Linked DNA regions of Xenopus tropicalis. The protein of the gene in region 1 purifies or fractionates together with the protein of each later gene. This does not show direct contact. Links are inferred from orthologs where the notes say so. Each region holds a gene or a part of one and is shown on either strand. Other genes may lie near its edges.

Region 1 (10,367 bases):
TAACTATGTAACTATGTAACTATGATTACTAGAAAAATGATTAAAAAATAAATAAATTGCTAATTAAAAAGAAAAAACAAAATATTGGAATATTTTTATATTTTCCATGTGCCTGTTGGCAGCCAATGCAAAAACCAGAGTTTAACTAAAGTCCTTTGATCTCCTATTTCTGCCTTTAGCTACTGATCTGCTTTAATTGAAGACTGACTTTGTTTAATTGTTTTCCTTTCTTTTTTGCTAGTTTTGTGATTCTATTTAATGGAAAAATACCTTGTGGCACCTGTTCCACCTGTCCAAATGTAGATCTACTCATGTACCCATGCGAGAATTAGTATAAAATCTGGGTTGTGAATACCATGTCCCATCTTTTGTATTATTTACTTACTGCGTTGTACTGCTGTAAAGTCTTTTCACACATTATTTTTACCGCAGAATAGAGTTGTCACTGTTTTTACAAAATGTTTTTATAAAAAGTGTACATCATTTACTACAGGGTTATGCCTGAATATTTAATGGCAAAGGGGATAATATTCAGTAAGAGCCAGAAAGGAACATGTCATTATTCTCTCTATATGCAGTTTTTAATGTAAATGTCATGCGCACCAATACATCTACAAAATCTAGTGACTCAGTATTTCTACATGATTTTTGACCATGACTGGATTAAATGTTTTTCATGGTAATAGTGTAAAAATGAAAAGCTTTAAGTTGGCTTGAACAGTTAACCACAGAAGCCAAACAAAGTGTAAAAATATAATATCTACCAATAAGCTTTAGATTTTTTTTTTTTTGTAAATGCTTGTTTGCATTTTGTGGCCAAAATCCACTTTGTGTGTGCAGTGATAGGCTGGTTCCACTTCTAACAATTTGCACACACTGGATGCTTTCCGTCTGTTACATAGGACTTTTTCATGAAATGTCATACCTTGACATTGTTAACAGCTGTTTATCAAACAAACAGACTAATTACGAAAGTTCTATAAGGCTGGAATTGGCTGAAGTATTTCCAGCCAATTGGAAACTCATACTGCCCCAACTCAAAATGGAGACTAAAGGTGCAACATAACGGGACCAGCATGATAATGCTGTTCTTCTCTGAGGTGAAGGAGTCAAAAATGGATTAAGGATTAATTTAAAAAAAAAAAAATTGGAATTTTATATCTGTATAACTTTGGTTTAGTGCAACAGACTTTTAAAATGGAAAATGATAAAATAAGTACCACAAATGGAATCATATTAATTTTAGTAATCGTTAAACTGTTTAATTGTAATGTTCATTGTATACTATTTTATTATAATTTGATATATTATATTATTGTAGTCACCAGACAATAGAATGTACATAAGGATAGTTTAGTAGATATGATATCTCACATCAATAAGCTTAAATTGTTTTCCTACCCAGTGAACAGCAAATAATTGTAAATGTACATAGCACAATGGTGTATAGATGGTAATTTGGCAGACATGGGCTCTTCTGAACCTGCAGCGATGCTACAGATATTAACAAATTAGCACTGTACTGCTTGCCAGCTTATTCACAAGAGTCCTGCACATGCTCTCATTGCTGTAATTAAAACTAATTATTTTTAAAAACAAAGAAATACATGAATATGTGCTGTATTACTTTATAGAAGGCAATCTGTGTAGTAATGTTCAATTATTTTTCGATTTGGCTTCCTGAGATGCCTTTTTTCTGATCTGTAAAAAGCTCAAAAGCTTTTGCTCTGTCAATATAGGTATTATCAGCTCATATTGGATAATCCCTGCATTTTTATGTATTTATAATATAAATATATATGTAATAACATGGCAACTTTTAGTTTTTTGAACATTAAATAGAGTGTACTAAAGTCATATCCATATCCCCAACATTCATATGCCTGTGACTTGCCCTGTCAATTGCTGTTCATTGATGAATTGTGCTAAGTATGTTTTCTTTCCAAAGTCCACAGGTTGTTAGCTAATGTGATGCCACAGCACTCATTTGCTGGAGCACCACAATGTGGTAAATTTCCCAACAGTTCTAAGTGTTAATTTACTAGCTTTAGGCACAAAACTGGGCCATTAAACTTAATTGTCAAAAGACATTTACTTACTTGTGCTTAACTATAATAGCATTATGCGATTTGGTGCGTTAGTTAAAGGGCCCAGGGCTCTTTGGTGCAAGGAAGGTTGTGTAAATGCATGCCTGTGTCCTTACAATTTGCCACCTGTTTTTTGGTCAAGTTTATTAAGCATTTATATAGCGCCAATGTTCTCTTGTAGTCTCTTGTATGTTCTCTGTAGTAATTTGTTGAAGCACCACTGAGACCTTATTATTGCTATTCCTTTTTTATTTTTTAGGTCACCTTGGTCTTGTTGACATGATAAATACTGGAGAATCTAAGATGGCATCAACTCTCAAACTTGATGGTAAAGCAGATTCACCTGCTCCACCTGAAACTAAGTCAAAGGTATTTCCAACTGCATGTGGTGTTATGGCCAAGCAGTGTCAGCCATATTGTCTTTCATCGTCTGATTCTAGCCAGCCTTCTTTGGTTTGTTTCCTGCACGCCTCTTCCATCCTATTTGTTTTGCGGGTCTGTACATGTCTATACTCCATAAACCTAAACATTACTAGTCTAAATGCATTTAACTTTAGAGAATACAGTAGAGATATTTGAGCTTGGGGATATCCAGTGTGGGGTTGGGGAAAGACTTTTGTGCCTGGTTTTCAAACTGCAGCCATTTACCCCTTCTTGCCTTCAGTTCAAGCTTCTGTTGTTGGCCGTCTATACAGCACCTCCATCATAGGCATACTTAGTATTTTGCTTTGCGTCTTACATGAGGCATAAGGCGAGTGGCTTTACTTGTTATTGTTTCATTAGGGTGCAGTCCATGCTTAAGCATTTCATGTTTGCTTGAAATAAACATGGTGACCTATTTCCTTTTTACCAAGCAAATGGCAGACTTGCCAAATGCACTAATATCTAACGATCAAATTAACAATTTTGAGTTAATGCATTTTATATGCTTGCCTTTTTACCTGTTTCTCTCCATACATGCAACTATACTGCACTGCCACTTGATTATATTACATTTCAGTAAAGTTTGCCCTATTCTTGTCATATTTTGTTTTGTATTCTTCTACCGCAGGATAGCTACAGTTCACAGGGTAATTCTCAGCCCCCAACCCCAGGCCTCCTGACAGTCCCTTCCCCATTGTCCCCAAGCTCTGCTAGCATCTCCTCCTTTCATGGAGATGAAAGTGATAGCATTAGCAGCCCAGGCTGGCCAAAGACTCCATCAAGCCCTGTAAGTGGCCATGTTATGTTTATTCAATATTTTAAATAGATTTTAATTATTGTTTGCATGCTGTTGGCTAAACAGTAGTTATCTGTTTTGTTATTGTTTTATGTTGTTTTTCTTTAATTTCAATTTATGGCACTTACACTTGTTGCACACCCACTCGTATTCCAAATCTTCCAAATCTACTATGCTTAATGAATCTACATAAGCTGATACCTGTGTTGCGGACTATGTCACAATGGGCTGACCAGAAAACCTAATGTCAAGGTGTACTACTATCGACCTACAAAATGAATAGTGCTAACCAGAACTGACCAGTTGACCGTTTGCTGGAAGTGACATCCTCTAATAGATTTCCATGGAGCTCTGCTATAAATTGTGTGACTCTCCTTAACTTATCAAATTAAATGACACGACGACTATCAACATTAAATGACACAGAGATTCCCAGCATTTAAAGACACAAAAACTTCCAGTATTAAATGACACAGAGACACCCAGAGTTTAAAGACACATAGATGTTGGACAGGCAAATGGTCACTCCCTTCAAAGCTACTTTCCTCCTTGCTGCTGGGTTCTGGACATTCATGGGGGTAAGCTGTACTGTGATTAGAAAAATTTACAGGGGGATTCAAAAGAAGTACACTTAATTTCTGTGAAACAGAGTCATACCAGGACCTTGTAACATGAAGGAAAATGGCAGCTAAAATCCTGCTGCGTGGGCCAGTAAGAAAGGTTTTACTCTCCTCCTGGCATGCAAGTCCAATTCTGCGTGACAGAATACAGTTTTCTTATCTTGCTGGTATGGCGTGCTTGTAGATTTTTGTTTTTTTTAAGATCAAATAACCACTTACTACATAATGACACATTTAATGTGGAGGATTACCAGTATATAAAAATCTAATTAAGTCATGTTGTTTACAAAGCCTATAAAGAAATCTCAGTGTTGTCAGAGCTTAGTGTGCTTATATATGATGGTTCAAAAAAGTTTCCTGGGTCTGCATAAGCAAACATTCTTACCCAGAGCCATGTACAGTTTTTTTTTTATAATTACCTAAGTAATGAATTAAAGAAAAAGGAAATGTAATGTATTATCACCCATATATTGTGCACAGCAGCCCCCCAACCTATGACCTGAGTCAGTAAATGTAATTTTTCCTGCTCTGGTACTGATACATTCTTCTAATCTAATGCTGTTGGTCTGGGAATGCAATGTTCCACTATCTTTCCTGTACTGGTGTGATGGAGGCTGCTGTCTGGACTGCTCATGTGCACCTTAGGAGTGCCTTGTAATGTGCTGAGCATGTCTGTAGCTATGTTCGCTCCAGATAGCTCAGTTCCCTCCCTGAACTGACCTACTAGAGTTTTTCAGACTCTGGCAGCCCATTGGCCTTTCTTGGCAATCTGAAATACATCTTCTAATGTCTTCTTTTACAGCGCTTATAAATGATTTGGGGTGATATCATTCCATAATGTTGCAGAACTGAACAATACTGCAGCATTACCGTATGTTGTTTAGAAAATGTCCAACTTTCTCTACAGACGTGAGACATTTCCAGCCTTTGATTATCTAATTTTCTAAACTGTTTTGCTCCATTTTTCTACTTTAAACTTTCCCACAAGCTGCAGCCTGAAGGAAGAAATCTGACCACACCACCAGAAGAATCTTCTTTTTAAGTGGAGACTTTTAACATTACAGTTTTTCAGAGTTCAATTTGTATCTTGCAAGGTTAATTATTTACTGTAGTAAAAGCACACCTTACCACACAGGATTAAATGAGGAGCTAGTAGTCAGTGATGCAATAGCTTTTTTTTTATAGACAACATTCCAGATTCTTACTTGCTGTACCTTGCTTTTATTATTTTGACCAACTTTACCTAATTTCATAAAAGCACCTGTTTTTTTTAAAGAAATCTTGATATGCTTAATCAGTTGATAGATGATTTTGTATTTGCTTTAAGATTTGTATTCTTTGTTATTTGTTTCTTTATTATGTGGGCAAAGGAATATCTTTACTTTCTGAAAAATATCATCTCAATTTCCTTATTCTTGCATAAAAGTGATCCAGTTACCTAGTCCTGCAGCCTTTACTTACAGGCACCCTCATGCTGTTGATTTGACCCAAAAGATAATCTGATATTTTATCTGTATATCACAACCATCTTTTTTGTGTCTTTCTTATGTTATATATAATTTACATTAAGCACCACAAAGCTTTGCTTGCAAAGGCAAACTTGATAAAATAACGTTTGTACTGTCTGTAGTTATATAAGGTATGCACAGGGTTTTCTGAAGCTATGTAAAACAATTGACCATATGGCATCCATGTAGAACCATTGATGATGATAATTAATTAAATTTTAAAAACAAGAATTGTATAGACAGTGCCAATAACCCTTTCAAACACCATGAATTGCACTTGTAATGAAAATGAAGGTCGTGGTTCAGAAAATTTATAGACCAATTTTTAATGTAATAGGTGAAATATGAATTCATTAACCAGTCTGAGAAACGCCATATTAAGGTGTGTGCCTAGATATTCGTATTAAGTTATCTGCGACTATGTTAATATTCTGTCCCTCTTTTGTATGCTGCAGAAAGCAAGTTCTTCAACAACCACTGGAGAAAAAATCACAAAACTTTATGAATTAGGAAATGAGCCAGAGAGGAAGATGTGGGTGGATCGGTACTTGACCTTCATGGAGGAACGAGGCACTCCTGTTGCAAATCTGCCTGCAGTTGGAAAAAAACCTCTTGACCTTGTCAGGCTGTACTTTTGTGTTAAAGAGATTGGCGGTTTAGCTCAGGTAATACAACTTAATTGATGATTATTGTAATGGCATAATGCTTTGTCTGCCACTTACAGGTATGTGAATTTACCAGTTTCTTAAATCATGGAACAAACTGAATAGGAGAATCACTTGAGGTGTATTAAAATGGTCCACTTAATTTAAACGCCTGTTTTCCAGCTTGTGAGGAATATTTTTTTTCAGAAATATGTATCAACTACATATAGAATACATGAACATAAATATACAAATGTGCACATTCATAATTTACATCACCAATTGCTCATGTGGTTACGCAAAAAGAATACTAGCATCCTACTTTTATAGCATTTTTCTACAATTTACCACGGTTATTGCTGTAAACTCTATGGCACTGTTATTAAGTAATTAATTGTAAGAATTCAGATTCATTTCATATGAGTCTACATTTGGCAGGGGTATTGCTGAGTTGAGAATCTTACCTTAGGCAGTAATGCCCTGCAGGTTTCCAGGGGACACAAAAAAACAGCTCTTCTAGTACAGAGCGGCTCAGGGACCAGAATCACTCTGTTGGCAAACATAAGGGATAATAAAAGTTGTTAACCAAAAAATAATTTGCATAAATAAGAAAAATCCTCATTCCACAATGTAATAAACTTCATTAGACCTCTATTACATTGTGGGATAAATATAAAGGCCTACTTACAGGCAGTGTATCCTTGGTGCAAACAAAATAATCACAATAATTCCCAGGTTCACAAAAGCTATAGTAAATTTGTGCAAAGAAAAAATTTATTTACGCAAAGGAATAATTATTCACGTTGAGAATAATTTCACGTTAATGACATTCCCCATGTCTTCATTTCTGAAAATACTACTGTACCTGCTCTTGTGGCATCCATTTAAATATACTTGTATTCATTTTTACACCGCTAGGTGCTTCACATACATCACGATACTCCAAAATGAATTATTTTACATTATCTCATAATCCCTGAAAAAAAGAAAAAAAAATCAGTGGCTTTGCTGAGAAATTCCCCTGGGTGTCTGTATGAAGTGTTAACCCAGTCATAAGCAGCACAGCAGATCGTTTCCACTACAGAGACATCGGCATCCTGGCACATACACCCTTGGAGCTTTCTGAAAATAAACATATTTTCTTTCCGCATTTACAGCTCCCACAATAATACTAAATTGTGGAATAACACAGTTGCTCTTATTTTTATTGTTTTTTAAATGAGTTCTTAGCAGCAAGGCCTGTTTTAATTGAATCAGGAGCGCGTGAGCGTTTCCATGCTCTTGTACTTTACTGGGATGCAAATTGCTGGCTCCATGCATGTCTCTAATGTAAAGTGCTCAGCATTAGGGGATGCAGCATTCACAAGCCTCAGATGCCTTTTTTTATATTTATTTATTTATTTGCTATCAGCAGGTTCTTTAATAGCTTTATAACTGCAAGTGTGCGGCAGTGCGCCCCCTGAGTGGGAGTAATGAGCGTTAGTTAAAAGAGGCATATTAAGAAAATATAGGGAGATAAACCACAGAATAACCTATATGCTTTCTTCCTTACCCCCTCTGCTGATTACAGAACCATGTGCTTAACCGCAATAATGTTCTTTTTATTGTAGGTTAATAAAAACAAGAAGTGGCGAGAGCTGTCAAGCAATCTGAATGTTGGCACCTCTAGCAGTGCAGCCAGCTCCTTGAAAAAGCAGTACATACAGTATCTGTTTGCCTTTGAATGCAAGATTGAGAGAGGGGAGGAGCCACCTCCAGAGATTTTCAATCCTGGAGAGTCAAAGAAGCAGCCTAAGATTCAGCCGCCATCTCCTGGTAAGCAAAAGGAATGCATCCAGTTCTACCTCAAGTGCCACAGCAGCAGCTGAAATCATGTCCAGTTATAATTCCCATGAAACCTCTACCCACCCCATGACAGGAATATATGGCTGGGCATTTTTTGAAAAACAAAACATTTTTTTAGCAAGAAAACAACAAAAATGTAGTCTGGTTCAGTTATCTTGAGCGTAAAAGCTGTTCATTGTCCCACTTCTTCTCAATTCATGTGTTTTATGGAGGATTTTAGGAATTAATTGGTACAATCAGATGCCAATTAAAGGTCTGTTCAGGGATCCACTGTAAGCAAGGAATTTACTGCATAAATCAGCACAGTTTCTTGATGAAATTGATATGCTAAATGCATCTAAATGATTATGGTTCACTTCAGTGTGAAGTTATTAACATGGATATGGACAACAGACTGATGATCGATTGGATCATGGCGTGGAAGTGCTTTTGCTGTTCCATTTTGTCTTGGGCCATGACCATACCTTTATTTTCATTCCACCACTATCCCTCTAAGCTGTGCTCTTGTTTACACACAAAGTCTGACCTGTGCACTTGTTTACACACAAATTCTGACCTGTGCACACACAACATAATATTGAGCTGACAGAAAATGTTAAATTAAAAAATGAAAAAAAAAAAAAAAATTTCTAAAAAAGCGTGAGCGATAGCTCCTATGTTCTACAGCCTACAAATAGTTTGCCTGAATATGGTTTCATCTATAGTGTGTCATCTTCAGAGCTATGTCTGGCAACCCACACATCGAATGATGCTCATCCTGGTTTGGTGAGTATTTATAAGTTTAAGATTTTAGTGCACTTATAAAAAAAAAAAAAAAGTTATATTTATTCACAATCCTAAAAGGCACATCGCTGAGGGGATGATCAAAAGATAAAACACTTAAAAAGCCTAAAGTACCAATCTAGGACACTAAAGTAAGCAGGGTGTAGCTTCAAGATTATCTATTTCACATTTGCAACCACTTACTTCTGAGAGAGTATTAGTTGTGCACCAACACAGCTTCTACGTACAATGCTACTTTACCTATAATGTAATATGCAACTCAATAGAGCACTCAAAAGTGTGATACTGTATGTTTAAAAAGGTCTACTTATTCATCTCCCACTGCCAAGATATCTGCAGGTTAGGCCTGACCAATTAAACAACAAAGCACAGCACCCTAGCCCCAATTCGCTGCCCCACACCTTTCAGACCCACCCACCTACTGTTAATCCATGTGCCCATGCCTAACCCAGTTCAATTTCAGCAGTGTATAAATGAAGACGAAATCGCGATTTTGCAAGCTGAAATGAATTTGGGAGAGCATTTAAACGGATTCTGTCATGATTTTTATGGTACTATTCATATATTATATATTATTTTTTTTAGTTGTAATATTGGTGTGTAGGCTGAGTCTGAGCTTTCAGAAGGAGCCAGCTCTACACATTAGAACTGCTTTCAGATAACCTTTTGTTTCTTCTATTCCCATGTAACTGGGGGAGCTGCAAGCCGGACTTGGATTTCTTACTATTGAGTGCTGTTCTGATATCTACCACTTTTAGCAATACAGGTGCCAGGGAGCTGCTATCTTGCTACCTTCCTATTGTTCTGCTGATTGGCTGCTGGGGGGAGGGGGTGATATCACTCCAACTTGCAGCTCAGCAGTAAAGTGTGACTGAAATTTATCAGAGCACATCGTTGTGGCACTCTGGGAAATGAAGAATATGGCTAGACTTATGTGAAATTAAAAATAAAAAAATCTTTGTGTTTTTGAAAAACGAATTTCAATGCAGGATTCTGTTGGAGAAGCTCTATTAACTGATGTTTTCCCATGACAGCGATCCTTTAATGCTATTAGACACCACTGCATTTGGAAACCCCACTATGGACACTCAGAAGGCAGGGTGTGACGTAGATGCACAGTTTCTACATTTACTAATTTACAGATCCTCACCGCTTATCTGTATTCCATACAAATGGGTCCATGTCAAAAACCCAGTAAATCTTTCCATTTTTACATTTGCAAAGTTGCCATAGCATTTTCCTACATAAATAATAGCCTCGCTTCAGAGATATAAGCCCAGTCATCAAAGCGAATTCCACTGAGTAGGCTTTCAGAAAAGGGAATAAAAGAGACCAATCCAAGCACAGCTGAGAGCCTGGCCCTAATCAGCAAGCTTACAAAAACCATTAATCTTTGCAGGCATGAAACGGGCTGATTTTGCTATTATTAGCTGACAGGTGATGTCACAGAATCTGTCCAGAAGCCAACAGGGAATCCCCACAGAGGAGGGAGGGGGTTGTTCATGGGCTTCCCTGCTTTAGTAAACAAAGATGTCCTCATTCTGACCTCTGCTCAGAGCAAAACTAGTGACGTGTTTGGGCGCTTGCAATTTCCTCCCACCCCACCCTATCCCTCTACCTCAGCCAGAATTAGGCCAGTAGGTTCATGCTGTGTAAATTAT
Region 2 (10,798 bases), on another chromosome or scaffold:
CCCCCTAGGCCTGACCCGAGCGTGTATCTTACTGCAGAAGATAAAAGCAGTGTCTGACAATAAAGGGCATTTCTTTGCAAGCTATTCTGTGCCCATGGCAGAATCCATGGCACACACATGAGGCAGTCAGTTTCTCACCTATTTTCATGAAAAGCTCTGTCTATGATCTGAATGAATTACCTAGTGTGGGGGAGGGAGGCTGGGTGCTTAGAATCGCCCCCACCACCACCTCGGAGACCTCTTCTGGTTATTATCAGCGTCTGCAAAACAAAGCAATGTGTCGTTTTGGCTAACACTACTACATTTCCACGTGGGTTGCACTTTTACACAATAGCTGGCTGAGAGGATTGTGCACGCATGGCACACTTGGGTACTGTCACACTGTAACAATGTGATTTGGATTTAAGTAAATGTGTTTGATGTGCAGATAAATCTCTTGTGGGTGCATCACCTTGCACTGTTTTAACAATACCAGGGACTTCACCAATATGGTGGCTGCCCTCACCAGGCTTCTGACCATGAGCTTGAAGACAACAGTGGCACCATAAGTGGCAGTTCCGGGCTCAGTTAGCAGCTTTTCCCCTTTGCATTCAGCCATAGTCCAAGTGTGCAATACAGTCCCCCATGAATGGTGAGCAATATGGCACTACCTTTGAACTAACACAAGTAACTAAATGTAGGACATTCATGCACTGCAGCCTAATAGTGGATAAGCCTCAGTACAGTATGTAGCCCAGTGTCCTAGGATGAAATGTGACTAGAAACAGAGCTAGAGTGCAGATGCCCTCCAGGGCTCACGTTGAGTTTTACAAAAGAAAATTAGATAAGGGATGAGCCCATGTGGGTCTTGGCCTGTAGAATTTCCAACAGCAGGAATGCATGCCTATGGCAGTGACAGATTGCTCACATGAAGCACAGACCCTAAAATGCAGTCTTATTGAGCCACATGACCTTTTAATCCTGAGGACAGAAACATGCTCTGAGTCTGACCCCACTGGCACAGAGCCATACAGTTGAGCAAGACCTTCATTTTCATACAGTTCCCAGGGGGCACCTTCAGCCAGCCATAGATGCTCCAACATCCAAAGGCAGTGGCAGCTGCCTGCAATTGTGGCTGAATAACAGCTGAAAGGTTGCAAATAGCACATTGGTGGTTAATCTGTGTCTGTAAAAGTCACTGTACGAGTTCTTGCACGCAGGCAGGTAAAGGTGTGTTTGTGTGTGCTACAGTGTGGTTACCAGGATTCATTTTGCCAAACCACTTACTTTTTTCTCCTCAGTAAAATATTAACTTAGAGCTTCCTAAAGGCAATATGTAAAGTTACCCAGTATGTAGTGTGATGGGGAATGAGCCCAGAGCAAGGCACATGTCCTACACGCAGTATAATGAGGGGAAACACAAGAGGCATGTAGCCCAGGGGCAGAGGGGGAGGAGGGGCAGGCAGGGCAGGCATGAAAGAAAGAAGAAAAGGAACAGCTCAAAGTCTGCAGAGCACATGGAAGAGCAATTAGGGGATGGAATTCTGTGAATTAGTAAGTAAGAGGGCAGGGAAAGGGAGGAGATAGGGAGAGGGCAAATGGGGGTGGGTAGAAGGCCAGGAAAGAGGAGAAAATGGGTCTGGAATAAATGTGAATGCAGTGTACAAAGTGAGGGTGGAAACAGATTGGAGAGGAATAATAGAAAAGGTGTGAGTGGGCAGTAAAGAATTAACAGAGGGAGGCAGGAGAAGGCTGGCAGAGAATGGGTGGGCATAGGTAGGAAAGGGCAGTATGGGTACAGGTAGGCAGATAAGGAGGGTGGTTGTAAGAAAGTGTATGCAAAGTGGGTGGGAAAAGGAAAGAAAGGCAGGCAGAGAATGTTGGCATTGGAAGGTAGAGAGTACAGCAAGGAGATGGCAGAGTGGGCAGGCACAGATGATGGTAGGAAGGGTCAAGCAGAGAAGGTGGGCATAGGTAGGAAAGGGCAGTATGGGTACAGGTAGGCAGATAAGGAGGGTGGTTGTAAGAAAGTGTATGCAAAGTGGGTGGGAAAAGGAAAGAAAGGCAGGCAGAGAATGTTGGCATTGGAAGGTAGAGAGTACAGCAAGGAGATGGCAGAGTGGGCAGGCACAGGTAGAAGGAGGCAGAGAGAGGATGGGCACAGGTAGGCAAGGCAAGGCAGAGCTAGGGTTGGGGTAGCAGGGTGTGCACATATAGAAAAGGGCAGGGGTGGCACAGGTACAGAGGGGAAGGGCAAAGGGAGTGGAACTGGTAGGAAAAGGCAGAGTGGGCACAAGTAGAGTAGTGCTGACAGAGAAGGTGGCACAGGTAGGACAGGAAGGCAGCGAGGGTGAGTACAGGTAAGGGAGGGCAGGCAGAGAGAGTGAGTGCAGGTAAGAGAGGGCAGGTAGAGAGAGTGAGTGCAGGTAAGAGAGGGCAGGTAGAGAGAGTGAGTGCAGGTAAGAGAGGGCAGGTAGAGTTAGTGCAGGTAAGAGAGGGTGGGTACAGGTGAGAGAGGACAGGCAGAGAGAGTGTGGCTAAGAGAGGGTGGGTAAAGGTGAGAGAGGGCAGGCAGAGACAGTAAGAGAGGGCAGGCAGAGAGAATGAGTGTGGCTAAGAGAGGGTGGGTACAGGTGAGAGAGGGCAGGCAGAGACAGTAAGAGAGGGTGGATACAGGTGAGAGAGGGCAGGCAGAGAGAGGGAGTGCGGGTAAGAGAGGGTGGGTACAGGTGAGAGAGGGTGGGTACAAGTAAGAGAGGGCAGGCAGAGACAGTTAGTGCAGGTGAGAGAGGGCAGGCAGAGAGAGGGAGTGCGGGTAAGAGAGGGTGGGTACAGGTAAGAGAGGGCAGGCAGAGAGAGGGAGTGCGGGTAAGAGAGGGTGGATACAGGTGAGAGAGGGCAGGCAGAGACAGTTAGTGCAGGTAAGAGAGGGTGGATACAGGTGAGAGAGGGCAGGCAGAGACAGTTAGTGCAGGTAAGAGAGGGTGGATACAGGTGAGAGAGGGCAGGCAGAGAGAGGGAGTGCAGGTAAGAGAGGGTGGGTACAAGTAAGAGAGGGCAGGCAAGGAGAGTGAGCACGGGTAAGAGGGGGTGGGTACAGGTAGAGGAGGGCTGGCAAAGACGAAAGAGAAAGGGCAGATGACAAGGGGAGGAGGGGAAGAGAAACAGAGGGAGGAGAGACACAGGAGGAGGGGAGGGGAGGGAAGGCAGTGGGAGGGCAGAGATGAGAAAAGGAGGTTTGTTGCAAAACAGCTCTCTGGAAGTGATGACACCAACAGAAAAACCTTCCAATAACTTCCTATGAGCCGCCCGACAGCAGCAGGAAGGGGAAAGTGCTGAGCGCTCGGTTTGCGCCCCGGGAAACTACAGCCGGAGGATCGCAGCGCAGGGATTGCGCATTGAGAGCAGCTGTACGGGCACAATTATACGGAGAGAGGCTGAACCCCGCTGGGTTTCACTGGGGAATCCGGTTAGTAGTGCTGGACTAGCTGTAGGATAGCGGCTTTGTGCTGTACTTAGCGCCGGGCTTACACGCGTGTTACTGCTACGGGCACACAGGGCTACAGTCTGATAGGCATAGTACTGATACTAACACGAACTCTATAAGCTTGTATAACTGAATAGGGCAACACGTAGAGGATAAATATATACACACAATTTATGTATAAAATGTGCGTGTGTGTATATATATATATATATATATATATATATCAATCCAAATGGTGTCCGCACTCCAAGGCTCAATATTCTGCGGGGTGCATAGCCAAAATTATGTATATACAGAAAATAATCATCTGTGGCCAGCACACCCTTCAATGTTTTATCAAAAATTTATTGAAGATATATCGTTAAAATTGTTTAAAAGTCAAAGTGCAAACAAACTAGCCAACACACACTTTGCGGGGCTGCACAAGTAGCCAACACACACAGCCAAGACTGCACAACTAGCCAACACATGCAGTTCAAGGCTGTGCAACTAGCCAACGCACACTTTGCGGGGCTGCGCAACTAGCCAACGCACGCAGTGCGGGGCTGCGCAACTAGCCAATGCACGCAGTGCGGGGCTGCGCAACTAGCCAACGCACGCAGTGCGGGGCTGCGCAACTAGCCAACGCACGCAGTGCGGGGCTGCGCAACTAGCCAACGCACACAGTGCGGGGCTGCGCAACTAGCCAACGCACGCAGTGCAGGGCTGCGCAACTAGCCAACGCACGCAGTGCAGGGCTGCATAATTAGGAATTCTACATTATATGATTCATTAGGAAGGAGGTTGTTCACACAGAGTATATCCCTCTTGTATATACACAGCATTCCTTCACCTGTGCACAGTAGTGCTGTCTGCTGTTTAACACTCCATGACCTCTCGGGGAGGATTACCTCTACCATCTGGGAGCCCAATGAACATGATGCGGGGACCAAACCCTGGAGCATACAGACCCCCAATGGGGCCTTACCAGGTAACCATTTCCAATAGCAATGTATTGTGCATTTCCATCTTCCCTGTGCTAGATCACTTCATTTAGAATTTAGAACATTGTTTATCCAGTTTTAATTGGGCAGAGTCAGTAGGTCCAAGTTGCTGGGTCTGTTAATAGTGCCTGACTATCACATGCCCGTTTGTAGCATGTGACTAGCAGAATCCAATGGCATGAAAATGATTTACGCCTGAAGCATGATTGTGTTTTATATGCCATAGCTGCATCCAAAGTCAGGCACTAGTGCACAGAACGCTTGCATCTATAGAATTGCACATTGACTGTGCTACTGGCAAGCTGCTACTTCTGGTTTCCAAATCAGACTAAATGCGACTAAATGTTGAGCTGACTGATTTGTGACTTGTGTAGCACACCAGGCCCTTGATCTAATATTTCTAGAGCATTTTTCGGATGCAATTGTGATCTGAAGCAGTCATGTTCAGTTACAGCTCAGGTGACCTATTGAATTGCATCGCAGTTGTACAATCCAAAGGTAAAGTCGTTGGTGTAAATAAAGACTGTGGATGTTTCACTTTCATCCAGTATCTTTCTAAATTCTTTGTGTAATTGTGAAAAATGAGACATAACATCTTCATGTGACAATCAGTGCACATCATTATGGTCCCAGGTAGGCAGGAGGAGAGTATAGATAAGGCCTTGATGGTTGCTAAGCAGGGCCTAGATAATCTAGGATGGCTTGTGTAACCATTCCAAGAATAATATAATAATAGTAATCCTACATTTTATACAATGGTGCATATCATGGTAAACAACTGATCAGTTGATTTAAATCTACTTCACTTTATAATTGTCTTTTCACTGCATGTCACTGTGGTGTGTTCTGGTATCGTTCACTCCTTTTTAATTTTTCATTTTCATACATATTGGTATAGTTCACCAGCAAATGGCATGGTCCGAGTTTGCTGTTGATCAGTGTGGTACAGTTTGGTATAGTTCATCACTGGTTGTTTGGAGTATGGTTGAACTGGTATCATTCACTGCCTTTCAGTGTTGTGCATGCTGGTATAGATCACTTTAGGATGGTCTATTCTGGTAGAGTTCACTGCCTAGGAATGTGGTATGTTCAGGTCTAGTTCAACACCAGTCAGTGTGGTACAACACAGTTAAGTTCACTCTCTGTCAGTGAGGTACATGCAAGTATAGTTCATCACTGGCACCTGATACCATTGGTAGATGTGGTGCATTCTTGTACAGTTCACCATTGGTAGATGTGGTGCATTCTAGTATAGTTCACCATTGGTAGTGTGGTGCATTCTAGTATAGTTCACCATTGGTAGTGTGGTGCATTCTAGTATAGTTCACCATTGGTAGTGTGGTGCATTCTAGTATAGTTCACCATTGGTAGTGTGGGGCATTCTAGAACATGTCCGCACTTCCAAATGTGGTGCATTCTAGAACAGGTCAGCACTGGCAGATGTGGGGCATTCTAGAACATGTCCGCACTTCCAAATGTGGTGCATTCTAGAACAGGTCAGCACTGGCAGATGTGAGGCATTCTAGAACATGTCAGCACTTCCAAATGTGGTGCACTCTAGAACAGTTCACAATTGGTAGATGCGGTGCATTGTAGTACAGGTCACCACTGGCAGATGTGGGGCATTCTACTGACCTCTACTTTTAATTTTAAATTGAATGGCCTTTATGATTGTCAGGTTTTCTCAGTCTCATTTAATTTCAGCCCTTTTAATCTAATTTTAAGATAAAGATCCATAGTGACCTATTAATATGAGGTAATGAGGACCAGAAGTGGCAATCTATAACATAGACTGTGCCTGCTGACCCCTGTCACTGATGGATCCATTGTGAGGGTTAATAATATTATTATTAACATTTATTTATAAAGCGCCAACATATTCCACAGTGCTGTACAATAAGTACCTGAACATTGTAGCCTTAAATATTCATTTCTGCCAGTGGCTACGAGTTAAAAAGGGGGAAATCGTTCATTTCAGGGCTTGTACTTTATGGCCTTATGGCCACAGAAAAGTAAATTTAAATGGTGCCACTTTAGATTCTTTTGAAGAAAAATTAGGACTGTATAAAATAAAGCACATTGGGGTAGGTAGAGTGCCCTGTGCCCTCTCTCATGGAGGCTCCATAGTTCGGCAACAACTTTAGGGCATTCCTGGTCACTCTGGGCAGGGAAACTGTGTTATTCGGCTGCTTTGGCAGGAATGGGGCCTGCAGGTAGGTAACCCACCCTACAACTTCACCACTGACATTGTGGAAAGGGTCACAGTGATTGGCTGCTTAGCCAAGTATCAGGGTCCTTTCAAAGATCTGCCGTGGTTGATGTGTTTTTAACAGCAGTGCTCCGAGGATAGTGGTTATAGAAATGCATAGATCTCACAGCGGCTGCTCTTTGCGACCGTGCTACTTCTTACATCCAGGCTTCACCGTGGCTCCTTCCTCCCTCGCTTTTGTGTTGTTTTTTTCCTGTCTTTACTCTCTCAGCCTCCCCCATTTATCTTGCTCTGTTTACTGCTGTCGCTGCCAAACCACAATCTAAACGGCTCCCTGCAGTACGGATTAAAATGGACCCAACAAGCCAATGGTTGTCTATTCCAGGCATGGCAGGCAGTTGGCTGCTAAACCGCCTAACAGGAAGTTAAAGGGGATGTAAATCCAAAAATAAAAATGTTGCTTAATATAATTTTAAGCAACTTTCCAATATACATTCATTAAAAAAAATGTTTAATGGTTTGAGGCACTTGCAAGGGGACATGATTACTCTGTACAAGTACATTAGAGGGGATTATAGGCAGTTGGGGGATGTTCTTTTTTCCCATAAAAACAATCAGCGCACCAGAGGTCCCCCCTTTAGATTAGAGGAACGGAGCTTCCATTTGAAGCAGCGTAGGGGGTTCCTCACGGTGAGGGCAGTGAGGTTGGGGAATGCCCTTCCTAGAGATGTGGTAATGGCAGATTCTGTTAATGCCTTTAAGAGGGGCCTGGATGAGTTCTTGAACAAGCAGAATATCCAAGGCTATTGTGATACTAATATCTACAGTTAGTACTAGTGGTTGTATATATAGTTTATGTATGTGAGTGTATAGATTGGTAGGTGTGGGTTGTGTGTGCTGGGTTTACTTGGATGGGTTGAACTTGATGGACTCTGGTCTTTTTTCAACCCTATGTAACTATATATGAAAGTTATGTGTATTGTAAATGCTATCAAAAGCACTATCAGTCTGTCCTCTGGTTTTGACTCTGGGGAAAAAATGTAGCAGACATCCATTCTTTTCCAGTTCTGCTAATCAGCTGGCTTGTGCTATATTGTTTCAGGAGTCAGAACCAGCAGTGCAGAGAGTAGATAGATGCCATCACTGTTTAGTGGCTGCAGGGCCGCTGCTGGCCAAATGGGTGCCCTAAGCAGAAATTTACTTTTGTGCCCCCTCCCCCAAATATTACGGAAGTAAAAATAAAATAATAAAAAAAAAAACACCTACTATAGGGGCCCCATACACCGTGCCCCCATAGACAATGCCCCCATAGTAAGTGCCCCCAATTGCCCCCATAGATTGATTGAACTATCCGGGACCGCGGGATGCGCTATAAAAACCGGTGGGACAGTGTTGGGGGGGTATGTTATAATATATAAAAACGATTTTTTTGAGCAGCTGGGATGGTGCCCCCCTGGGAGTTGGTGCCCTATGCAGACTGAGTACTCTGCTTATAGGGAGCGGCGGCCCTGAGTGGCTGCATCCTTCTCTGGACTGTGTTCAACTTTCTCTTCTGACCCCCGTGACCCACTTATGACTGATGAAAAGACAGTTTGGGTGGGACGGGGCAGGAGTTGCTGGAGTATGAAGATAGCATAATGCAAAAGAAATAGCCCGTTCCTCTTTCTGTGTATAGAGCGACTTGTGTGTTTGCAGTCATGCTCGGCAGCACTCCCACATTAGTAACACTGGTGGAACAGCCGTTTCCCAGCATGCACTGCGCAGGCTTGAGGGAGGAAACTTGTCTTTCAGGCTAGGTGAGGCAGTAACTCTGGGCACCTGGAGGGGGTGGGAGAAGCGGGGGATTAAGGTGGAGGGGATACAAAGGGAGGTCTGAATAGGCAGCAGAAAGGTGCAGAGGGGGAGGTGTATGGGCAAACCTCTGTACAAACAACGCCTGTAGGATGTGTATAGTCGCTGATTGGAGAGATTTCCCACAGCTTAGTTAATCATGCCCCAGTATGTACTATCAGTGCAAAATGAATGTCTGAATAAAACTACAACTTCCAGCATCTGCCAACAATGAAACGGCTAGAACAAATGAAATTCTGCCTGTATTAAGTTTTACTCTCCATATGCTCAAAGATTAATTGTGTCCGCTTGGTAAATGCCCAACTGGCAATTTAATCCTATTAAGGTGGCTGCCAACTGGCTATGCCCCTTTGAATAATAGAGTGTTGATTCATTTTACAATCAGGATATAATACCTATTTCTATAGATCGGGTTTCGAGGAGAGTAGAATTGCTGCCATACAAGGGCCACTGGTGCCACCGCGCTGTGACTCACACCCTAGGGGCAGGGCACACTATTACTGAATGTGCCAGGAACTGAGGCAGCTTATCCTTATCTTTATTTCCCTGGCTGCCAGTACCTGCTCTCCTACTGCCCTTAGTCCTAGTATCCCCACCACTACTATAGACACCATTTCTCCCTACTATACCTGCTATCCCACAGCCCCAGTCCCTTCCCAGAGGCTATTATCCCCACTGCTACTATAGGCACTATCTCTCTCTACTATACCTGCTATCCCACAGCCCCAGTCCCTTCCCAGAGGCTATTATCCCCCCACTGCTACTATAGGCACCATCTCTCCCTACTATACCTGCTATCCCACAGCCCCAGTCCCTTCCCAGAGGCTATTATCCCACTGCTACTATAGGCACCATCTCTCCCTATTATACCTGCTATCCCACAGCCACAGTCCCTTCCCAGAGGCTATTATCCCCCACTGCTACTATAGGCACCATCTCTCCCTACTATACCTGCTATCCCACAGCCACAGTCCCTTCCCAGAGGCTATTATCCCACTGCTACTATAGGCACCATCTCTCCCTACTATACCTGCTATCCCACAGCCCCAATCCCTTCCCAGAGGCTATTATCCCACTGCTACTATAGGCACCATCTCTCCCTACTATACCTGCTATCCCACAGCCCCAGTCCCTTCCCAGAGGCTATTATCCCCCACTGCTACTATAGGCACCATCTCTCCCTACTATACCTGCTATCCCACAGCCACAGTCCCTTCCCAGAGGCTATTATCCCACTGCTACTATAGGCACCATCTCTCCCTACTATACCTGCTATCCCACAGCCACAGTCCCTTCCCAGAGGCTATTATCCCCCCACTGTTACTATAGGCACCATCTCTCCCTACTATTCCTGCTATCCCACAGCCACAATGCGTTCCCAGAGGCTATTATCCTTACTGTTGTTACAGTCACCATGTTACAATACTTCTTTTACATGGGGGGGGGGGAGTTTTGGTATACCCCCTTTGTCATATTCATATTTGGTGGGGCACAATTTGTTGTGTTAACCTAGGAATATAAATGGAAACTGTACAGCTTTAATACAGGTTATGCCTGTCTGGATAAGGTGTATTCATAGCTATAGTATGCACATCTATTTACAGCAATTTACCTGTTTCTGTATCTGACTGAGTAGAAATAACCCCTGGAGAGCAATTACAGAAAAGTGCTTTCTGGTACTTTTCCTTTAGAAACATGTATATCCTTACTTATTCCTCATGAGATTTATTCCCTCAAATTTGCTTCTTTCCAGAGACCAGGTATGCTTCCAGGCTCCCGAATGCCAATGCCTGGCATGCATATGGGCTCCCCCATGCTTCCTCCATATGGTGGGGGTTCTCCTATGAGACCTGCCATGAATCCAATGATTATGGAGCCATTTAGGAAGAGGCTGCTCACCCCATCAGGACACCCTGGGCCGAGCCATCGTAGGGGGTAAGTAGCTTGAACCAAGAGAATGATAGAAAACTAAAATATCAATGTCTGTATTATTTCAATCAAACAATGGAATACAATGTCTGTATTATCTCAATCAATCAATGGAATACATTTGGTGTAATATTTTCTTTTTGCAGAGTAAAGAGAAGAAAGATGGCTGACAAGATCTTGCCACAGAGGGTAGGTTCTTTCTCCTGGTTTCCACATTTTGTATGGCTTCTGCCTATGTCATCTGAAATGTATTAACCACAAGTTCTTCACTGTGTCTAGATCCGTGAACTGGTGCCAGAGTCTCAGGCCTACATGGACCTCTTGGCATTTGAGAGGAAGTTGGATCAGACTATAGCTAGG
Region 3 (10,856 bases), on another chromosome or scaffold:
TTTTTAACTTTCGAGCCACCAACTGGAGCCTTACCAAGGCAATCAAAGGAGAAGGAAAGGCTAATAAAGAGTTAATCTCAAGCTGCAGGCATACCTTCAGTTGTCTCAATAGTGCCCTTAAGTCTCCCCATATTTCACCTGTTCAGAAGCTCAGAAGCTCAAACTGAGCTGTGTAAAGAAATTTCCCATAATGCCTCACTCCTGCACAGACATGCAGACCAAACTGAACATGCTCAGTTAGTTAGACTATGAAAGAAAGGTTTGTCAGCGCTATAGGTGTCCTCGTGCTTAATTGCTTTCAGTCTTCAATGTAGACAATAAGCGTGGTGCTCAAATCTCCTGCTGCTTTCTCCAAAGAAAATACCCCTCTTGGATGGGTATTAAAACATGTGCAGACCCAGTGTGTTGGAAGCGCATGAAAAATAAAAATACAAAATAGTGCAATATGTTTCAAAAGTTAATGAAACTGAAATGAAAAAGAGTTATGTCTATAACTCCAAATAATAGCAAAGTGCACATAAAATATACAAAGGGCAGAGTGGTGTAGTTGCACACTCACCAGATGGTAGTTAAGATATGCAGAGGTAAATGAAATCCACTGTTGATAGAGGTAGGTTCAAGATCTCCATTCAGTTTGGGAAAGCAAAAGATAAAAACAAAATATAGTGTAATACCCTTTATTAAAAATAGTCCTGCTGCAGTACAGGCTACTTACAGTATCTGGATAAGAACAAAATGTATCACAAACAGCTCTACGCGTTTCACGTGTCCGTGGAGCTCCTGATGAAGCGTGGCGGACACATGAAACACGTAGAGCTGTTTGTGATACATTTTGTTCTTATCCAGATACTGTAAGTAGCCTGTACTGCAGCAGGACTATTTTTTTTTTTTATACATATTGCACATTTTGTATTTTTATTTTTTATTTTTCATGCGCTTCCAACACACTGGGTCTGCACATAGTTAGACTATGAGTCAGCTTCCTGCTGATTGGCTCAGATCCACATCTGAGTTCTTAGCATTCTTGAGGGAGGGGGAAGCAGGAAAGAGAAGAGAACAGAAAGCTGCTTGTCTCTGGCGCAGGAATTACAGACACAACTAATCTTTTTTCAGCGAAGTCAGTGCAGCGTTTCTGTGAGTGCTTATGGCTGTATTTACATAGACCTTTCTGATAAAGCTTACTTAGTTTTTACCTTTCTTTCTCCTTTAATGGCATTGCACCTGCACACTTCAGCACCCTTTTTGTGCATCCTGGATAGGTGTCATAGTCCTCTGGGCTTGACCCTAGGCCAAGACTTGGTGGTTCTCACCCTAGCTTCGGCGAAGGTGGATCTGCCCACACATGCTGTTTATTGGCAAAAGCCTTGGACACATGAGCATCGGAGCCCATGCCTTCAGGTTGGTCTCACAGGCGATGATTCAAACATCTTAATCTTTCAGCATTCTTGACTTTTTTCACAATCCTATTCAGCCGCTTATGCAAAAAAACAACCTGCTACAGCTGCCCCACAGACAAGGGGCCTCCATCTTTCTTTATTCACAACTCTAAGGGCCTATATAGGAAAAAGGCACACTATTTATACCAGGGGTCTTCAAACTACGGCCTGTGGGCCCAATACAGTCCCTCCATGGTCATTTACCCGGCCCCCGATGTGTCTTCATCCCTGGTTACTACCTGTCTGCCTCAGCATGGTTCTTGGCCACGCCACCGCGTCCCACCGGGCAATTCTAATGACTGTGCTGGGGCTGAGAACCATGCTGAGGCAGACAGGTAGTAGCCAGGGGTGAGGTTGCAGCAGGGGCCGTAGTTTGAGGATTAACCATAATCCGGCCCCCCCAACAGTCTGAGGGACCATGAACTGTCCCCCTGTTTAAAAAGTTTGAGGACCCCTGGGCTATACTAATCACTGTTGTTGCACTGCTCTTGCAGGGAGGTGTATGGTCACCAGTACCTGGTTTTAGCCCTGGGTGGAGGCACTTAACCTTTCCAAACCCCCCCAAAACTTCCATTTAGTGGAGGCTCTATCCTGTTAGTGCCCCAGTGTGGCGCTGGATATTAGTGCCAAGAAAGGGTAACATACCTCTTTCTCAACAGCAGTTCATTTAATAGGACATGAGCAGAAGATAGTTTTTGCATATTATTTTAATCACCAAAAGTGTATGATTCTTGAGCTAAACAAAGAACTGAAGATACTCCATGTTTGGTCCTTGGATAATGGCGTTTCAGCACAAATTCTATCCATTGAACTCATGGGGGTATTCTGCCCCTTTATGTGTTTGACATTCCAGGGGTTGTTGCTGCTGGTGAAGAACATTATACAGCACCCATCATTGCATCACTATGCATGTTACATAGTTAGGTGCTCACTGGCAATCTGTAGATTCTGGTAAATACCAGAGGGGCCAGAAGATGCCATAGACAGTGTCTATTTCTTGGCCTGTTTTGAATCTCATTCTGAAGCTGTACATTGTACATGAATAAAGAGTACTACCTTGTAGTGTGTGCTATAATCATATATTTGCCAGTGCTTAGGTTTTCAGCTAAACTAATACATGGATAAGCAGATTGTATACAAAGGGTCAGGGCCAGCAATCTTTTACAGTTACCAATTTTATTACTTTTGTGGCAGTCTATGATGGTCAATCTATCAACTCTTTAGTCTGTTAAAGCGGACCTGTCACCTTAAGAAATAATTCCAAAATGTTTTCTATTGTGGTTTTCAAGCAAAATTTACTTACACTATATAAATTATTTTAATCTTAGTTTCTTCAGCCTTGGAGTTCTCAATTGCAGCATGCAGGCAGGGGCCATTTTGTGGACACTGTTATCAAAGCAGGCATTGCATTCTGCCAATATCTGGTTTCTGTGCCAGTATGGAGGGACCTAATGCCCATGTCCATGCACTGGTTACAAAATTACATGGTGAGGAGGGAGGGGGAATGTGAGGGGTGCAGCAACATCTAAGAAGTTCTGAATTGAAAGTGAAAGTAACTGTCTGCCACACCTCTAAGGCATAGAGGCGGGGCAGGCAATATATGACTGACAGCTGGGATTTTTAAATGCTTTTATAATAGGTATGGATGTGGTAATAAAAAAATGATTTTGGGTCTCTTGTTTAATTTGAAAAGGGCTTTTATTATACAGCTTTTTATGTTTGGGTGACAGGTCCACTTTAAGTAAATAAATGGGAGGCAGTGTATGGGGAATTGCAATTTCCAGACAGAAGCTGAGATGCTGGTTACATCTAGGAATTTTGTTGGTTTATTGTAATCATGCTTATAGTGAGTGGTTATAGAAATAAAAAAGCTTAACAGTATGAAATAAAAAATCATTCTGACATTTGGGTTTAGAGAAAAAAGTTCCTGTTATAAATAATGATGCCTCAAATAACTTGTGCATTGCTATCTCTGAACCCTCTTGAAATTCCATCTGTCTGTCTATGCAGTAGGCATGAGTCACACTCAAGTGGAAGACCAATGAAAAAGATCAGTATATATGGTGCTTAGGGCAAGAATAAGATAGCTCTAAATTATACTTTACATGTGTGTTCTCTGTTCTGGTAGGTTTTCAATATCTTTAATAAGGCCACCTTTCCATCCTACACAGAAGCACAATTTAAGTACAGAGTACCATCAGACTCAGTGTCTCAACATCTCTTGACAATATTAAAGATGTTTGTGCCACCCATCCATGTGTCTATCCAATCTGTTCCTGATGGTTCAGGTTAGGTGCCTGACCTAAAGTGAACCTTAAACACAATAGCAAAACAGTTATATAATGGTTCTTGACACAGTGATGATATACAGTCATTATTACAATGTCTGACTTAGGGCCCTTCACCTCTAGTAAATTACACACCCACTGGGTTACTAACGCCAATATATGTCCTCAGTATAGAGTGTTGCTACAGAACCTCATCTTAGATTTCAAGCTCTCAGCATGGATCTGGATGGAGCCTACACACTCCCAGATGTGCAAACACTCCTCTCTGACTCTGCCTGGCACTAGGGACATTCCTACTACGTAAATGCTCCTAGACTGGATCTACATTACATACTGGAGCTACCCTAAACTCTCCCCTCTTCACCAGGGACAACTTAGCTCATCAGATAAGTCCCCTACGCCTCTATCTTTTTAGGAGCGAGTGTTTTTGCTGTCCAGCACTGTGGAATGTGTTGACACTTTATAAATGAGTGCTAATAATACTTTGTCTTAGAGCACTGTGATAGAGGCACTTTGGGGTAACCTAAGTTACAATATTTCTACACTGGCGTTCTTATGAGGTGGCTGTGGCCAATTTTCTGTCCCAGCAGTGATATAATGTAAAATATACAGCACAAACTGACTTCTTACCTTTGTGCATTGTACAAAATTTGTGTTATGTTATTCAGAAAATGATAAAGTATAAAAAAGTTAAAAAGTATATATATATATATATATATATATATATATAACTGAACAGTAGAAAGCACTCACAGCTACAGCATCAATCAGGTCAGTGATTTATTTCAGCATACCATCTACGCGTTTCATCCTGATGACGATCCTGTGGTGATCGAAACGCGTAGATGGTATGCTGAAACTTTCTACTGTTGAGTTTGATGCATTATTTCTGTCAGCACCCAGCCTGTGCCCCATACTGGTGAGTGCCGAATCTTTACAACTCTCTCTCTCTCTACCTCGCATTAACAAAAAAAAAAAAGACGGAAAAGAGACTTTAATACATACTTTATTATAAAACAAACGTTAAACATTGAACGAGAGTATGTAAAGCTGCTGTAACTAACTTGCAGCAAATTCAGGGTTTCTTTGAAAATGCAACTCCCGCCCTCAAAATCGACTTCGCGGTATTGTTTATAGCAGAAAGTCAGCCAATCGCTGATTCCAAGGGGCCAAACACTGCAAGACACGTGTTTATAGCTCATCACGTGTCAATACCTAACTTCTGGGAAGTTCATTCTTCTTCATCATTGAGAAGGGCAAAACCCCTGTATCTCAGTGAGGGTCGCTTCGCTTCAGTTTACACGCCATGTATCATTATAGTTCTGCGAGTTATAATAAGAAAACTATAGCCCACCTTAGTTTCTTTGCAAGCCATACCCGCCAATAGGTAATATGGAATTGACCGATGGGTCGTACCATTATCTCAAACGAGGGGAATGTTATATTAGCTGGTACTTAAAATAGCGATAGCCATTTACTAAGGGTAACATAGACGTTTAACATAACCCCTCAACTGTAACGGTACATGGATATCCTCGCTCGATTGTTTTTAACAACGTACGATTTGGAAGAAACTGTCCATTTCCTGCTTTTCTTTTCGCAAAGGATTATGGTATAAACTTTTGGGCGAGACCTTTCTGTATTTACAGGGGTGTATTGGTAGACTGGGAAGTTATAGCGTTTATTTTATGTCTTCGTTGATTATTCTGTTGTTGTTATTATTAAGAAGTTACACAAGTCTGAGCTTCCCTTAAGGGCCTCTTAGATATATGTTGCCTGTATGGAGTAAATGCTTGCCTGTTTGTTTCCGCACCCCCCCCCCCTAGGATGTTGTTGAGTCGCTTGCTGGAATCTCGCGGTGTGTGAGAGCGGCAGTGGGAAGTCCGTTCCAGATTTCGCCAGTCTTTCCCTTTAGAGACGCTTCGTGCCTACACTTCGCTCCCTTTGTTTTCTTTAGCTCGTGTATCATGTCTGTAGCTTTCGCGGCTCCCAGGCAGCGGGGGAAGGGGGAGATCACTCCTGCGGCCATTCAAAAGGTAACCGCGCCGATATTAAAAAATACGTTCAATGCAACTGCTTAGTCGTGCCCTTCTGCCGGGAGGGAATTCCCCCAACTGCACTGGTGTAGTGCTTTCTAAGGCTGGGGGGCAGTGTACGGGGGTGGGGAGTCCTTACTGTTCTACTTAAATGCTATCGATTAATAAATGGCAAAGTGCCACAAACATATTGTATGTGCCTGGGTTTAACCATAGACAAGGTATCTGGAGCTTTTATCATCAGTTATATTACCAAGGAAGGTCACTGTAGGTGTAAGGACAAAAAAAGGCACATAAACGTGTCAGCAGAGCCAAATTGGTGAGCCATTTTATCTGTACTGTATCTGGGCCACTGGGGATTAACAGCCACCCTAAAGAGGTTCATTAAAGATCATTAAAATCTGTTCTAAGCAACTTTTCAATGTACGTTTGTTACAGTTTTTCAGTGCATTATTCTTCGATGCAAATACTATCGAACACAATATCTCCAATGTCTCCGTACTGTTTGTTCCGACTACTGAAACAAATTAGAAGATGCAGCTAATTAACAGACTTAGAAAAAAAAAAAAGTGCAAGACATTGTTGAAATTGAAATCTAGCTTCTGCAACATTGTATGAGAAATCAGAGCCAGCAGTAAAGATGGCCATGCACGTAGTGAAATGCTTTTCAGTACATTTGGGGGCTTATGGTCCCGACAGATATTTATGTACTGTGGATATTGGTCATTTTGTGTCAGACAGGTTTGGAAATGTATCTGCAAATACAGCATATTACATTACATTAACATTTATTTATAAAGCGCCAACATATTCCGCAGCGCTGTACAATAAGTGGGTTACATACATGGACATACAGAGTAACATATAAAGCAATCAATAACCGATACAAGAGGTGAAGAGGGCCCTGCCCAAAAGAGCTTACAATCTACAAGGAGAAAGGGTTGAGACACAAGCATATCAGCAGGTGCGGGATGTACGTGCTGATGAGGAGGAAAAGTAAAATGGAGTTATGTCCTGAACAGAATAATAGGCTGCCCTAATGTGTTTGGCCCCTTGTATCAGGGGGATACTGTGTTGATTCAACCATGTATGGCTGCTGTAAAAGTGGGAAGAACAGCAAAGGACAGGCTGTTATTGCATTCAGTTGTAATTATTTTTAAGAAATCAGTTTAAAATTATCAATATTTATAATCTGGCTAAAATTCTATTTTAAGTAGGCAAAAGGTTACTTTTGTTTTTTGGCTCCCTTGTTCATAGCTGTTGGTTTTGAACCAGAGTTTTTGTTTGTGACTGGTACTTTGTTTGCATTGACTCCTACAAAATTTCACTCTCATATTGGAATAACACTATTGCACAGGAACCCCTTTATACAGTGTTTGTGTCTGAGTGAGCAGCCATGATGGCTTTTAGCTGTAGGCCCAGGCCATTAAAGGCCACTACACTTCACAGTTCTCCAGGTATATCTGTAAGTACTGTTTCATGTAGTAGATATTCTATGAAGTCGTTGTCACAGAGAAATATGTAAAATAAATATATTCTGATTCTTGTGCTTGGCATTTCATATGATACTGTTAATTTTTAGTTACATTTGTGTTTCTAACTGTACAGGGTAAATATATATATATATATATATATATATATATATATATATATATACATATTTTTCAAGATTATCAAAGCTAAATGGCTATGAATATTTTGGATAGCTTCAAAAATTCTACAGTGCTGTCTCCCCCCTCAGTGCAGCACAATGTACCTTTCTGCCGCATGATTCCTATGGTTGTCCTGTATGTTCCTGCTGAGAGCTTGACATGGCTATACAAGGTTCTGAGAGGCTAGAGACCTTGCTTTTTCATTTATTTTTGTAAAATATAGTGTGCATTGTTGGTGCTATAAAATTAAGCAACGATATGCAGTTAGGTCAGTACTCCAGCATGTAAGAGATTAGCTTTGTCCCTTGCCCATACACATAAGGGGAAACATGCTTTAACTAAGGAAATCATAAGTGGGTTACATTCTTGTGTTTTTGACCACCATAACCTAAGTCTTTCATTGCACAAGAACATGGCAGTGTCACTTTCATTGGTATCACTAATCAAAGGCTGCCAATAGTTCTTATGCACAGGGTTTCTTTATTGGTTCTAAAGCACATTATTTTTAAAGGAGAAGGAAAGGCTAATAAAGAGTTAATCTCAAGCTGCAGGCATACATTCAGTTCTCTAAATAGTGCCCTTAAGTCTCCCCATATTTCACCTGTTAGATGATCAGAAGCCAAACAGGAAGAAAAAACACTGAGCTGTGTAAAGAAAGTTCCCATTATGCCTCACTCCTGCACAGACACCCAGACCAAGTGAACATGCTCAGTTAGTAAGAGTATGAGTGAGCTTCCTGCTGATTGGCTCAGATCCACATTCTTAAGGGAGGAGTGAGTTCTTAGCATACTTGAAGGAGGGGGGAGCAGGAGAGAGGAGACAGCAGAGAGCTGTGTGTCTCTGGCATATGAATTACAGACACAAGAAATCTTTTGACAGAGAAGTCAGTGCAGCATTTCTTTGAGTGCTTATGGCTGTATTTACATAGACCTTTCTGATAAAGCTTACTTAGTTTTTACCTTTCTTTCTCCTTTTAAGTAGATAAATTATGACTCTTTGGCCTATTGCACATTGGGTGTATACTAAGCTAACCCTTTTTTGGCAGTGTATTTTCTGGCGATTAGTATCTGTGAAAAAGTAGCTGCTACTAGAAGCTCCATGTGTCTTCACCCTAAGGGAATTTGCCAGTCACCACTAGTGACATGAATGGAAGGTGAACTAATTGGCATCCAAAAGGTGAACAAAGTGCATCTGGATGTTGGAAGTGTTGAAATGATGCCAAAGCACTATTTAACATTCTCATTTTGACACTAACCTTAATCTTGTATATTAATTTTGTAGTACAGAATGCTTTTTAACTGATCAGTCAGTTATTTTTCAAATTTTTTTTTTTTTTTTAATTTTCAGATGCTGGATGAAAATAACCATCTAATACAATGCATAATGGATTATCAGAACAAAGGAAAAACCTCAGAATGTTCCCAGTATGTATAATATAATTCTCTCTTTCACAGTGTGGCACTAAATTGTTTATACCTATATAGAGGTCTCTGTACTTTGACAGTAGGTTGTTTTTGAAATTTTGTATATGGTTACTAATACTTATAACAATATCATGTTTTCATATACAGGTATAGGACCTGTTATCCAGAATGCTCGGGACCCGGGGCATTCCAGATAAGGGATCTTTCCGTAATTTCGATCTTAATGCCTTATGTCTGCTAAAAAATCATTTAAACGTCATTTAAACCCAATAGGATTGTTTTGCCTTCAATAAGGATTAATTATATCTTAGTTGGGATCAAATACAAGGAACTGTTTTATTATTACAGAGAAAAAGGAAATCATTTTCAAAAATTAGAATTATTTTCTTATAATGGAGTCTATGGGAGATGGCCTTTCCGCAATTCGGAACTTTCTGGATAGCTGGTTTTCGGATAAGGGATCCTGTACCTGTAGTGAGCAGTTAGATGCCAGATGTGAAGAAGGCCATAAATTACAGCTATTACTTAATGTGCCTGGGACATACATATTCAGAAACCAATGGGGTTGCTGAAAAAAAAAAAAAAAAATAATAATAGAGCCCAGTTCATGGGTTTTGCCAGTACTGTCTTTTAGCAGAATTTTCAGCAACCCCAGCTGTTTCTTAATGTCCTGGTAGGATTGTGTATGTATGTCCCAGGCACAACAAGTAACAGCTGCATTTCATGTGCTTTTTCCTATCATATGAGATTAAAGTTTTCTTCACGTCTGGCATCTAATTTTCCATATAAAACAATTGTGTGTTTCTCCTAATACAGTGTATAATCTTCATATTCGTTTTGATGGGTTACTTGCATATATAATTTATTATAACTTATTATCTAGTATCTGTCTGTATGTGTAGGGCAACACTAAATAATTTCTTAAGGCCTAACCATGGTGGTTTTCTTTTGTCTTGTTTTTTTGAGTACAGCTTTACATTTGCTTTGCCTACTGTTGATGGGGTGCTGATATTATTTTTATATTAAGAATTTATATAAGCTTCATCTCAAGGACAGAACATTTATCAATATTATTAATTACAAATTCTGTACTGTTTAAAATCAGTGCTCCCCACAAACCTTCACTCAACGACCTGTCTTGCTATATGCAGGACTTAGCACAAAGTCTGCATGTAGAGCATATTGCTGAGATAGTATGCCAACCATCTTTACACATATGAATAGTCAGGGGGCCATTCGTACTAGGGATGCACCAAATCCAGTATTTTGGGATTTGGCCGAACCCTGGGTTTGGTAGATCCCTACTCACCATACACAGACCGATTAAGAGCTGCCGACAAACTGAGGGCATAGAATGGACATAACATCTGTAAAGCTCAGAATTACAGAAAGTCCCGGGTTCCGAATATTCTTGAAAATATGCATGCTTTATAGTTTTTGAATTGTTATATTCATGGATTGATTGATTTTTAGTTTTTTAAATAAATGGCATTGTAGTTTTTTTCCATATTTTTTTCATTTTTTAAACAGATATCAACAGATGCTGCATACAAACTTAGTATACTTGGCCACAATAGCAGATTCGAATCAGAATACCCAACCTTTATTGTCAGCAGTAAGTATTTTCATTTTGGGCCAGAGGAAAATCTAGTTAAATCTATTTAGTTAAAAATACCTTACCCAGTGCATTCTTGCAAATAGTAAGGTAATAACTCACACTTTCCTAAAAAATAGATGGAATTGTACAGAATGCATTACTAGGGTTCAGACATATTTAATACCATTCTTTAGGGGTAGAACTAGCTAGAGAAAACCATTAAGGAATAAGTAAACCTTTTTTTTTTTCTTCTCAAATTACCCCAGATTAGTGCCCAGAATAGCATCTACCTTCCTGCATTCAGTCTCATTTCATTTTTGCAGCTCATTTAAGCTATTTCCTAGTCTAGCGTGAATTTCTGCCCCCTTTTCTGTTCTGAGCTCTCCTTCTTTCTTTGACTGTGAAGACTTTCACGTGCCTGAT

The links.
Region 2: the proteins of arid1b (region 1) and smarcd2 purify together in Homo sapiens (affinity purification with mass spectrometry; 5 studies listed by BioGRID and IntAct, with this or other methods). This does not show direct contact. The link is inferred for Xenopus tropicalis from reciprocal best matches to the Homo sapiens genes ARID1B and SMARCD2.
Region 3: the proteins of arid1b (region 1) and ss18 purify together in Homo sapiens (affinity purification with mass spectrometry; 4 studies listed by BioGRID and IntAct, counting the BioPlex papers as one, with this or other methods). This does not show direct contact. The link is inferred for Xenopus tropicalis from reciprocal best matches to the Homo sapiens genes ARID1B and SS18.

What each region holds. Positions count from the first base shown.
Region 1 is NC_030681.2:52,282,497-52,292,863, forward strand, and holds part of arid1b (AT-rich interactive domain-containing protein 1B), read left to right. Parts: intron 1-2,346; coding exon 2,347-2,456; intron 2,457-3,138; coding exon 3,139-3,297; intron 3,298-5,889; coding exon 5,890-6,099; intron 6,100-7,688; coding exon 7,689-7,893; intron 7,894-10,367. UniProt on the Homo sapiens protein: Involved in transcriptional activation and repression of select genes by chromatin remodeling (alteration of DNA-nucleosome topology).
Region 2 is NC_030686.2:15,735,331-15,746,128, reverse strand, and holds the start of smarcd2 (SWI/SNF-related matrix-associated actin-dependent regulator of chromatin subfamily D member 2), read left to right. Parts: upstream 1-3,416; 5' UTR 3,417-3,448; intron 3,449-4,287; 5' UTR 4,288-4,334; coding exon 4,335-4,436; intron 4,437-10,262; coding exon 10,263-10,444; intron 10,445-10,584; coding exon 10,585-10,627; intron 10,628-10,717; coding exon 10,718-10,798. UniProt on the Homo sapiens protein: Involved in transcriptional activation and repression of select genes by chromatin remodeling (alteration of DNA-nucleosome topology).
Region 3 is NC_030682.2:110,344,686-110,355,541, reverse strand, and holds the start of ss18 (protein SSXT), read left to right. Parts: upstream 1-5,691; coding exon 5,692-5,760; intron 5,761-8,759; coding exon 8,760-8,836; intron 8,837-10,366; coding exon 10,367-10,451; intron 10,452-10,856. UniProt on the Homo sapiens protein: Appears to function synergistically with RBM14 as a transcriptional coactivator. Isoform 1 and isoform 2 function in nuclear receptor coactivation. Isoform 1 and isoform 2 function in general transcriptional coactivation.